Astyanax mexicanus: one gene and its partners. The protein of the gene in region 3 purifies or fractionates together with the protein of the main gene of each other region. This does not show direct contact. Links are inferred from orthologs where the notes say so. Each region holds a gene or a part of one and is shown on either strand. Other genes may lie near its edges.

Region 1 (3,627 bases), on a different chromosome or scaffold from region 3:
TCTTAATACCTTTTATAAACTTTAAAATAACCCAATTTGAGCATAACATAAGTAAATAAGACGTCTTTCTCTCATGTTAAACAGCCCTAAACAGTCTGAGTCAGGCTGGGCTTTAGAGTCTGCACTGAAACTAAACCCCACATACCACACATGCTTCAGGGCACAATGGCTCATTTTACAACAGGCCGGCTGAAGACAGAAAGTGTTTCAGTAGAACAGAGCCTGAGCACTTTAAGCATTTCTTCTCTTTTCACTGGTATTGTTCTCAGGCACGGGTCTTCCCAGGTTTGGCTGGATTTAAAAGTAAGTGTGGGAGGGTTGTCTACTTTAAACTGTGCATTTAAGATAATGTATTTCGATAGCTGGAATTTTCTTTGCAAGTTTGGCTCTCAGAATGTGTAGCAGGTCTGAGTCATAGTCTGACAGTAGTCATAAAAAACAATGTTACATCACTTTCGAAACTTGAGTAATATTTCTCAAAACAGGAGGAAGTAATTTGCATTTTGTGCCAGCAGATTCCTGAACAATACTTTAGCTACAGTCTAGCTTCAGCGGCCGAGATGTTTGGTCTACTCAGAAGTGTGTCGCTGGAAAGAAACATAAAACAAAGCAAAATCATTTCACAAAAGTTTAATACGTGATCACCACGTAAATTGTCATCATAGTAAATACCAAAATACATAGATTCATAATGCAACATCAGAGGCAGTATGTACAAGAACAATGTTACAAATGTACAGGTCTTTTTAAAACAAAGACAGAGAAAACCAGCACCCAAAGTCTGGTAGACCGTTGTTGTGGTCAGTTCTTACATCAGCGTAACATTTAACTTTGTACAGATGTCATTAGCATAACATTTCACACTCGTCACCCATTCAGACTGCTGGAGTACTGAATGAAGCGACCACCCCCCTCTCTCCACTGCAGGGCTGTAAATGTTCAAATTCACTCCAGTGGCCTCCTCATTCCTTTGACACGGCAGGGCTCTACGTAGCAGTACCAGCATGTTCACATTCTTTCCTTTACAAAGGCATGTCCAAACACACCAGGCCCAGTTTGTGCTTGGTAGCACCACTTATGTAGGGGAAGTCCCATACCACACACATACATGCCTCACCACGTGTTATGGGGGGAACCCAGTCTAGAAGTACAGCACAAAAATGGCCATGTGTGAATGTTACAGGTTTCCTTTTTTAAAACCACACTTCCACCAAAGTTCTGTGATTGGTTTTTAAAAGGCCACGATGGCCGTGCTCCAAGGGTTCAGGTTCTTTAGCATTTGGTCACAGCAGATCTGCCCTGACCCTGAATCACTGTCTTCTGTTTCTGCTTCAGGCTCAGAGCTCTCCTTGGTTAAAAGTCCTGAAAAACTAGAGCCAAAGATTGTGATGAGATTAGAGACATTGCCCGTGTCCATCTCCTCCGCTTCCTCCTCAGAGGAGTTTGAGGAAGTCACCTTTGTCCGTTTTACAGGAGAGTCATTGCTGGCTGTCTTCTCAGCAGTGCGCTTCCTGTTTGAACAAGAGTGAGCTTTCGGTGGTTGCTGTGAATTCCCTTCTGTGACCGTGGCGGGGTTAGCATCCGCCTCACAGTCCGAAGAACTCACTTCAGCTCCTTTAGCTTCACATTGAGATTCACAGGTCACAGGAGAAGATGTGAGAGAAACATCAGTAGTAGAATCCTCTGAGGAAGACTCCTCTTCGGCCTGATGTTTGGAGTAGACGCTGTGGAGATCTGTGGAGTCTTCCACAGCCTGGCTGGTGTGCTGAACCTCAGGATCCTCTGGAACCACAGGATTCTGGTTGCAGTCAGTTGATGGGGACAGAGATTCCTCAGGGGCTGGAGTGAGTGGCTTCTCCTGGTTGGAATCCATCAGCTCCCACTCCTTGGCCTCAACATGCTGGGTGTTGAGGCAAACCCCACTGTAGTAATCACTCAGATACACTTGGCGTGCACTTCTGAGCACCAGAGACACCAGGAGGTTTTTGTGGAGCTTGATGCCTCCTCGTTGAACCCGGGAGTTGTAAATTTTCCCCAGGGAGATACTCATTATCCGATGGGCCTCCACTTTATACTCCATGGTCAGGCTCGATTCAGGAACACTCGAAGCAAAATAAATACAAGCAGTTTCAAAGTTCAGCTCCAGTCAGAGAAGGCTTGTCAGCAGGCTTGTTCTCCTTCAAGTGTGAGTCTCATTGAAACATTGTCCATCCAAAAACGTCAAAAGAAATGGTCCAACAAGCTTTAGAAACACTCACTTGGTCTTCAAGTAGTTTTTAAATGAAAATAAAACCTATTTTAAAATAAAAGAAGCCTTACAATTCCTCTAATTTAGGAAAAAATATGGTTCTCTACTCGTTTTATCAACTTGATACGATAAATAAAACCAACCGCCACATTTCTGTGGTTAAAGAACGTAATACTGATAATTCTATGTTATTGGGTTATACTATAAGCCTGCATTACCTTCCGTACGGTCTCTCTCACCCAACAACAGCCTAGAGAGGAATGAGACCGTTTCTATATTTAGACCGCTTTTATACCCGGACGTAACGGCTACGCTGACCAATCACATCGCGCGCTGAACGCCACCGACGCTGTCAACCACGCCCCGCGAAACCACTGCGGACCAATCGGAACGCGGGATGCAGATTAGTCATATTTAAATACTAACGTGGGAGAAAAATTTAAAGAGACCGAAATGTTTTTAGGCTGAGCAACCGAATTATTACTAAAAACATCAATGAAAAATTAAATAACTAAAAAAATTACGTGTAAAATTAACAGCAGTATTTTTGGGCTCTTAGACTGTAATTATCTTCTGATGGTGGCTATAAACACTGAGGATCTGTATTATCATTTATAAAACGACTGATACGAGTCTAAAATCATGCTTACAAACATAAATATAGCTAAAACGGTGAAATGGTGGTTTTCTTTTTAAAATACAACTCACTTTGTAAAATCTCACAGACTGTGCTATTTTAAGGCGTGCAATGTCTTGTTTTTGACCGCTGTTAAATAAAAATGGCCGTGTCCCCTTTAACTCTCCTTGCTTTCAGCCAACATCCTGGACTGATGTAATGGTTTGTGTCTCCTACAGGCGGGTCACGTGGTCCTATTGTGCAAATCCTCTGCGGTGTCTGAGCAAATGTGAATGGGAGCCGTTAGTGAGGGGGAGGGGAGGCGGTGTTTTGTTTCAGGACCCAGCTAAAGCCCAATGTGACACCAGACTGAAATAGCTGAACGCCTCGCGAAGGCTTAATACATTTAAATACGCAGCGGTCCTCTGGTAAACAATTCCAGGTTATCTTTCCCACTGTGTGCTCGATATAGGTCACAACCCGCAAAACACCGCGCGGGGAAAAGCAGGGAGTGACGTAACACGTTTTGTGTTTACAGTGTGTGTGGAGGAGAGTGTGAGAACCCTGCTAAAAAACACAGCCCAGCTGATTTCAGATAGTCTGGACTGGTATGTACTGGTCAAGGCGAATAAAATAAGCTGGTGATTCAGGTGAAAACATACCCTGGTTAATCAGCTCAGCTCTGGCCAATTATAAGTGTATTTTTCATAATGTTAATGGACTGGTTTTTCAGCCTGACCAATTCAACAAAGCTGGTTTAATT
Region 2 (3,754 bases), on a different chromosome or scaffold from region 3:
CTTTAGTATTCTAAAACTTAAAGACATATTACCCATTCAGGAGACTATAGAAGTAGATATTTCAATATGTTTCTTTTTTTTTTTTTTGTAACAAAGATTATGTGCTGGTTTGCATTCTGGCCTATTCTTTTTTTTTTAACTGATACCCCCAGCCTAGCAAATTCCATGAGATGTGATTAATAAGTATTAAGTAAGTTTTGGGCCAAAGAAAAGGTAAACACAACCCACCATAATTTTCCATCTGCTCCAGCACCTGCACTGCACACTCCTGCTGCCTGGGATAGTGATTGAACATCCTCTGAATAAAGTTTCGAGGCACAAAAACCTCTTTGGGAAACACATCCAGCAGTTTATTGTAGACAGCAAGGTCCCGCTCTACGCCGAACTCTGGCATTTTCTGTAGAGCAGCATAAATAAACTCGACATGTCCACGGCGCCTGATGTCCTGCTTGTTGAAGACATCAACCACTCTGTTGAAACTGGCTTTATTCTTTGCATCTTTAGCTGTTCTCTCAAACAAGTCATCATGTGTGACCAAAGACTTGGCCTTCGTTTCATTTTCAAATAACTTGCTCAGATCTGAATTGTCCGGCTTGTCCTTGTAAACTGTGGAACCACAATGAATCCATCTTGCCTCCTTAAAACAAAAGAAAAAACAGCACATGTAGAAATACATATTCAAACAAACATATATAGACACCAGCTCTTTCATTTTCTTAAATCTAGTTTATCTAGTCCCAGTTGAGGTAACAATCTCCAACATCCAGGAAAGCACACAAGACATTTTAGAGCACTGCTGTGAAAATATGATTGAATTCTGTGACCAAAAAAAAAAGTTAGTAAAGGTAGAACGTTGGAAGATCACCACCCTGCCTCCTCATCTCCATTTCCCTAACTCATCCAAACAGTACGGAAAAAGGCACAATAATTCCAGAGAACACAATCCTGCTGATCCACAGCTCAATGCCTGGTGAGTTAGCTGGTTAGCAGTCTAGCCCACACCTTGATTAGGCATGGTGCAAACAGTGTATTTGTGTATCTGATCCAGAGAGTCCTGTTCTATTGGGTGCAATTTAAGGCAGCTGAATGCATTCATTAGAAGGAGTGTCCACAAATATTTGGACAAAAAGTGTAGCATCTGTGTAAAAATCCTGCTAATCTGCTAGTTCATGTCGTACTTTTAAACTGTCAACACAAACAGTCAAGTAAATACTTACTTGACCAATGCAGATACGTGGGATTGGGGGCCGCAGGAGAGCCGCATGAAAACAGCTGGGCTTGATAGGTGTCTTGACGAAAAGAGTGATCCACCCAGCATGCTGGGTTCGCATGAGAAATCTAGTGATCTTCATGGTGAGATTTCATTATTTCTGCAAAGATAATTGAATAGAATAGGACTTACTTCACTTAAGTTTACTTCACTTAACAAATATTAATAATCAATAATCAATCATCAATATCGCATACAGTAAAAATGAAACAAATCTGAAAACAAGGCAGTATAATATTTCTATTTTCTATCCCAATTCACGATAATGAAATGTACCTATAAAAACAAAGAAAGAAATCCTTACAGTAGCTAGTTAGGTTTCTAAAATCATTTAATATACAAATGTGAGTTTACATAAACATGGCTTGTAAACGGATTAATCTTGATTAATCTTATCTAACATAAATAGTTACACAGAGTACTGTAGTTATAGAAAATGAACAGCTATAACAATAGTGATACAGCTAACTAGCTAACTAATGCATAAGGAATTATGTAGTATTACATAACACGTATAAAATATTACATTTAACATTAGCAACCTAACTCTTATAGAATTAGGCAATTATAACTAATATACAGCTAAAAATGATGATATAATTTACAGCTGCTCTAATCCACTCATAGCTAGAATAATGTGGTTACAGTTTAAACCAAAGCACTGACATTGCACATGCAGTTAACTGGTATAACTGGGTAACGTTAGATAAACAGCTCCTTTGATTTTACCAAATTGAAAACCTCTGAAGTGGTCTCTTATTTTTTTCAGAGTTGAAGTTATCTGAAGTTAATGTAGTTATTTAATACGGGCAGGTCCGTAACTGACCCTGTGCCGGAGCCGGTAGGTTAACCCGGGTTAACATGGTGTATTAATACAGTGTGTGTGTGTGTGTGTGTGATTATTTACCGTGGTCAGGCTGGTAGATAGTGTCCCGTGGTGCAGTCTGAGTCTGGACTCGGTTTAAAGGCGGTTTAATGGAGCTGTAGCTCTAAATCTCCAGCGGTCACATCTCCTTCACAACACGCCGCCATAACCCAGCTATACTTCGGCTAGGTGTTCCGTCGAGTTGTGCTATCCATCGATACGTGCTTCCTAAACGCACTGCGCATGCGCTAACCTACAGTTATTAATTATTTCTCGTGTAATAAATAAATAATAAAAAAAAATTCTGTTTTTTGTGCATTAAACAACAACGACTCCTTGCCACTGCATAAAAAGTACAAATGGAAATTAATAATAATAAATACAATAATTATTTTTTTTTTAATACAAAAGTAGTTTCTAATGACCTCTCACTGTCACAACTATACAAACTGTACAATAATACAGTGATTTATACTCTCCACAGATTTACATAGACTTCCGCTGAGAACATGCTCTAATAAGGTGCTTCTTTTGCATTTTTAAAGTTAAACATACTACTAGGGTAGCACGGTTTGACAAGGTAGCACAACTCGACTGAACACCGGTCCGTCCTCTGTCCTCACACACTCACAGGAAACATTCACCTTCTGCTTATAGTTCCGCCGCTTTAGTTCCGCACCAGGAAATCACGGAGACCATCCTAAAATAATCACCTAATCAACTTATTTTCAATTTTTTTTTCAGGAAACACAAAACAACACATGAATAGAAACAAAACCTAATTCGTTTTTTTTTTTAATAATATTGATACCAAAAACAGACAAAAGAACATTGTAATATTGGTATTGGTTTAGTGTTTTTCTCTCTGGCGCCCTCTAGGCTGTTGCAGGGCTGTTGCGACCTCATGTCTCCTCTTGTCCTGGCTGTTGTTTGCAGCATCGTCGGCAGGGGACGCAGTGAACTGGCAGTTTTACAGTCAAAACTTTTCTGCTTTTCTTTTTTTTGGTTATTTTCCTGGGCTGAACTGGAGCTGTGGCGCCTCGCTTCAGCGGGAGTTTAGATAAGTGAGTTCTGAGTCTCAGTAATGAGAGGGGGGAATAGTTTGCGTGAACATAGTTAACTGGATTACAGCTTTTATATCTCTTGCATGGATTAAAAAATCCATCCGCACAGTCATAGACACACTCATACTCTCTCTCTCTCTCCTCATCGCGCACTTGCTCGCCTCCGCAGCTGCGCAGCTCATTTCCTGGGTTGGGGAGTTTGGAGTGGTCTTGCATTTCTTCACTTCACGCACACGCACGTGCGCTCCTGTCCACACTGTGTGTGAGTGTGTTTTAAGACTTGAGGACCGCGGATCTTAAACGCCGTACTGATTTTTATATTGGGCAGGAATGGACTGCACTTCTCCCAGCATGAGCTGCTACTTCCGAGAGGTGTGAACAGCAGCGGCGGCGGCGGCGGCAGCGCGCGACTCCGACATGGATGGATCAACAAACAGCCTCGGTGAGTAACTCCCTCCCTCACTCTGTAGCCGCTCTTCAGCTGAGCACCCTGCTCTCAGTCTGTCTCTCAGAGCCGCTGTCACTCCGCTTCACACACACCACACACACTCACCA
Region 3 (3,754 bases):
TTACTGAGCTATAGCTATAGCTATGTTAACGCTAGCGATTCTGAGCTAACTTTAGGTAAGGTAGCCTTAGCTATAGTGATGCTAAGCTAACACAGGCTAGGTTAGCTCACTATCAGTTAGCTACATGCTAAGAGCAATGTTATTGCTAACCAGTAAACTGAGTAATAATGTTGAATTAGCTGTTAGGAAAAAGGTGTAAGAGGAACTTCTCATCTTAATTATAGAAGCTGGAGTCTAGCTGTATAAACTGTAAAATGTTCTGCCAAAATAGATTTTATGGTTCTGGTTTACCTTAAATTCTTTCAGAAGTAACTGATAAAATATTATAATTCTTGCACCAGCTCTATTCCCTCCACCTAAATAATTCAGCACATATTATTAAGTTAATGGCTGCCCTTACTAAATTGATATTTTGAAATTTATTATTTTAAGATAAAAAAATAGTTTTTTTGAGATACATCTTTATTTTAAGATACAAAATAATAAAAATAATGACTTAGTATCTCAAAATAATGAGAGAGCAAAACAATGATGTGAAAAAAGGTATGATATGAATGACTATTATTATTAACGAGTTCTAAATAATTTCTTAATAACTCTGTCTTTGTTACTTTTGTGCTTTAAAAAATTGATATATTTGAATTTATCACATAAGTTATTAGAGTGATTGAGTAATTTGTGCGTCATTATTATTATTATTATTATTATTATTATTAACTTTTTATTGCAATCTTTTTCTTGACTACTTTTTTCACATAACAACCTCACTACTTTTCCATTGTATATTTTGTATATTAAGTATTACATATTAAGTATTATTATTATTATTATTATTATTATTATTATTATTATTATTATTATCATGACGCTGCGCGCGCCCCCGGTCGGGGGTGACGTCACGGGCATCATGTCGACTGGCCGCGTGCGCCATCTTGAGAGGAATAAGAAATCTCGGGCGATGCGCGCGGCGCGCTGATCGGACCCGACCGGACCGGAGCGGAGCTTCTCCACGGTTTGGGCCTGCGCTGCGATTCCCCGTTACGGGCAGCGGAAGACCGGCGGGAACTCGCGGCCGGAGAAAGAGAGAGAGAGCCGGGGGCCGGGGACAGATCTGCTGCTGCTGCTGCGGAGCGACGCGATGGCAGGTTAGAGCTGAAGTTTGGAGGAGGCGGAGGAGCAGCAGCGGAGGAGGAGAGGAGAGGAGGCGGGAGGAGGCTGCTGGTTACCCGGACTGAACTGCTACTTCACCCGGCCTGGACCCCCCTGTCTCTCTCTCCCTCCCTCTCTCTCTCTCCCCATCTATCACAATGTCTCTGTATTTCTCTATTTCTGCAGAACACAAACAATCAATCATTCAATCAAGCACCCATGCATTCACACACACACATATATGTACACATATACACACACTGTACTGTACTGTTCATAATCGCAGTGCACTGAAATGTGTGTGTGTGTTCTCTGTGTGTTTCTGCGCCGCGCGCCGCTGCAGGGGTCGGAGGAGGGAACGATTTCCAGTGGTGTTTCTCGCAGGTGAAGGGGGCCATAGACGAGGATGTGGCGGAAGGTAAGCCCGGCGCGTGCCTCTATCTGCATCTTTATATGCATCTAAACCAGCGTAACTGTGGTGTTGATGTGCTGCTGCTGCTGGTTTAGTGCAAGAACGAACGCACGCACGCGGGTGTTTAACGTTAGTTTATTTAAGCGTGCATGCACCCCGGTGCATGCACATATATGAGCTAGTTAGCTAGGTTAGCTATATGTGCATATGTCTTCTCTAGCTAAGGTGGCTAACTAGCCGCTCGCTGACTGCTGACAGAGACTCGTGCTTGCTTAGCGTTAGCCTTAGCATTAGTCTGAGTATTAGCATTAGCCTGAGCTTTAGCATTAGCATTAGCCTGTGCGCGCGACTATGGGAAGTAGTAGCACTAGGGAGGAGGAGGAGGAGGGTGCAGGGAGCTGGTTAGGCCATGCAATTTGTGTTCGTAATTTCTCAGCATGGAAAATAGAACTCGTCCAGCTCGTTCAGCCAGTGCGTCTTTACGCACGAGCCAAACCCGAGCCCATAGCTCGAGCCTCGGGTGTGTGTGTGTGTGTGTGTGTGTGTGTGTGCGCGCGCGCGTGCAGGCGGGCGCTGTGTGGAGGGATGGGAAGAGAGGGATGATTCAGTGCCATGTTCCTCTCACCTCACACTCCAGCACAGACAGGGCTGTAGGGCAGCTGCAGGGAGGAGGTGGATCATAGGCTTTTACTTTATTTCAGTAATCTAGTTAAAAATGTGAAACTCATATATTATATATGCATTAAACACACAAAGTGATCTATTTTAAGCGTTTATTTCTTTTATTGTTGATGATTATGAAGCTTACAGCCAATGAAAACTCCCAAAATATCAGTGTCTCAGAAAATTCGAATATTATATATAAGACCAACTGGTACTTTTGGCAGTGTGCCAAGTCCTGCTGGAAAATGAAATCTGCACCTCCAAAAATAAAATCACAGAAATATTGAATTGATAATAAAACACAGTTGATCAACATCAGCAGATGACAGACATGTCTCTCTAAACAATCACTGATTGGTGGAAACTTTACACTAGACCTCAAGCAGTTTGGACTGTGTGTCCAAACTGTGTATATATGTGTGTATATGTGACTGTATAAAATGCAGTAAGTTTTTGAATAGACTTTTTAAAGTAATGTTCTAGTGAAATATTTAATCTTCCAGTAGTCTAGTATTCAGTAGTTTAATATAATTTATTTGGCTAATTTCTGTTGATCCATCTATCAGGAAATTTTGATACAAAAACTTGAAACTGAACTGCTTGAATTTTTGCACCAGGAATAAAGCAGCATAAAGTTATCCAAAAGCAGTGTGTAAGACTGGTGGAGGAGAACATGATGCCAAGATGCATGAACAAACTGTGATTTAAAACCAGGGTTGTTCCACCAAATATTGATTTCTGAACTGTATGTATATTATTTGAGGTCTGAAAGTTCTGCATCTTTTTTGTTATTTCAGCCATTTTTCATTTTCTGCAAATAAATGCGCAAAATGAGAATATTTTAATGTGGGAGAAATGTTGTCTGTAGTTTATAGAATAAAACAACAATGTTAATTTTACTCAAACATAAACCTATAAATAGCAAAATCAGAGAAACTGATTTTTATAAAATTGGTGTAAAATAGTTTATTTGGATCATTTCTTTGAAGTTACAAGGTTCTTTCCCCTTTAAACAATGAAATGTGCAATAGAGCTGCTTCTCCTTTTCTTCTTCTATAGAGTGGTGTATTTGTGTTGTATTATTGTAAGGTCAGTGCAGTGATCTGTTGTTTGCGTGTCTGTAGCGTGAGTTTACTCTGAGACGTGTGTAGCTGCTGTTGTGTCGCTGTGTGAGGTCACGCATAGGACGAGCAGAGACAGACATATTCAGAAATATCACACATTGAAATGAGTACAGCGCTCTGCTCACTGCATGCATACAATTCTGTCCAATCCGGGGCCAGAATGATGTGAAATAAAAAAAAATTAAAAAGGAATTTTGTGTGTGTAGGGTGGTTTATTGTGAGATGCTCAGTTTTGAGAAAATCTATTAACCCATAATTGATCAGTGTTTTGCTGATTATGATTGACATCAATTATTAGTTGTATTAATAGAAAATATCGATAATGGATTTTCTTTTCTCCAAACTTGTTGAATGTTGAGATTGTTTGTTAATGCACCTCAGTACACAAACTTCTGAGGCTGTTCAC

Evidence for each region. Proteins that work in one complex are often made in the same cells at the same time.
Region 1: the proteins of ppp2r2d (region 3) and ier5 purify together in Homo sapiens (affinity purification with mass spectrometry; 3 studies listed by BioGRID and IntAct, counting the BioPlex papers as one, with this or other methods). This does not show direct contact. The link is inferred for Astyanax mexicanus from reciprocal best matches to the Homo sapiens genes PPP2R2D and IER5.
Region 2: the proteins of ppp2r2d (region 3) and ecsit purify together in Homo sapiens (affinity purification with mass spectrometry; 3 studies listed by BioGRID and IntAct, counting the BioPlex papers as one, with this or other methods). This does not show direct contact. The link is inferred for Astyanax mexicanus from reciprocal best matches to the Homo sapiens genes PPP2R2D and ECSIT.

The regions. Positions count from the first base shown.
Region 1 is NC_064423.1:15,820,945-15,824,571, forward strand, and holds ier5 (immediate early response gene 5 protein), read right to left. Parts: upstream 2,526-3,627; 5' UTR 2,081-2,525; coding exon 1,232-2,080; 3' UTR 616-1,231; downstream 1-615. UniProt on the Homo sapiens protein: Plays a role as a transcription factor. Mediates positive transcriptional regulation of several chaperone genes during the heat shock response in a HSF1-dependent manner. Mediates negative transcriptional regulation of CDC25B expression.
Region 2 is NC_064415.1:31,116,228-31,119,981, forward strand, and holds the start of ecsit (evolutionarily conserved signaling intermediate in Toll pathway, mitochondrial), read right to left. Parts: upstream 2,355-3,754; 5' UTR 2,178-2,354; intron 1,371-2,177; 5' UTR 1,353-1,370; coding exon 1,218-1,352; intron 638-1,217; coding exon 229-637; intron 1-228. Other genes in the region: eml3 (echinoderm microtubule-associated protein-like 3), read left to right, coding at 3,617-3,641.
Region 3 is NC_064422.1:11,981,502-11,985,255, forward strand, and holds the start of ppp2r2d (serine/threonine-protein phosphatase 2A 55 kDa regulatory subunit B delta isoform), read left to right. Parts: upstream 1-899; 5' UTR 900-1,138; coding exon 1,139-1,145; intron 1,146-1,492; coding exon 1,493-1,567; intron 1,568-3,754. UniProt on the Homo sapiens protein: Substrate-recognition subunit of protein phosphatase 2A (PP2A) that plays a key role in cell cycle by controlling mitosis entry and exit. Involved in chromosome clustering during late mitosis by mediating dephosphorylation of MKI67.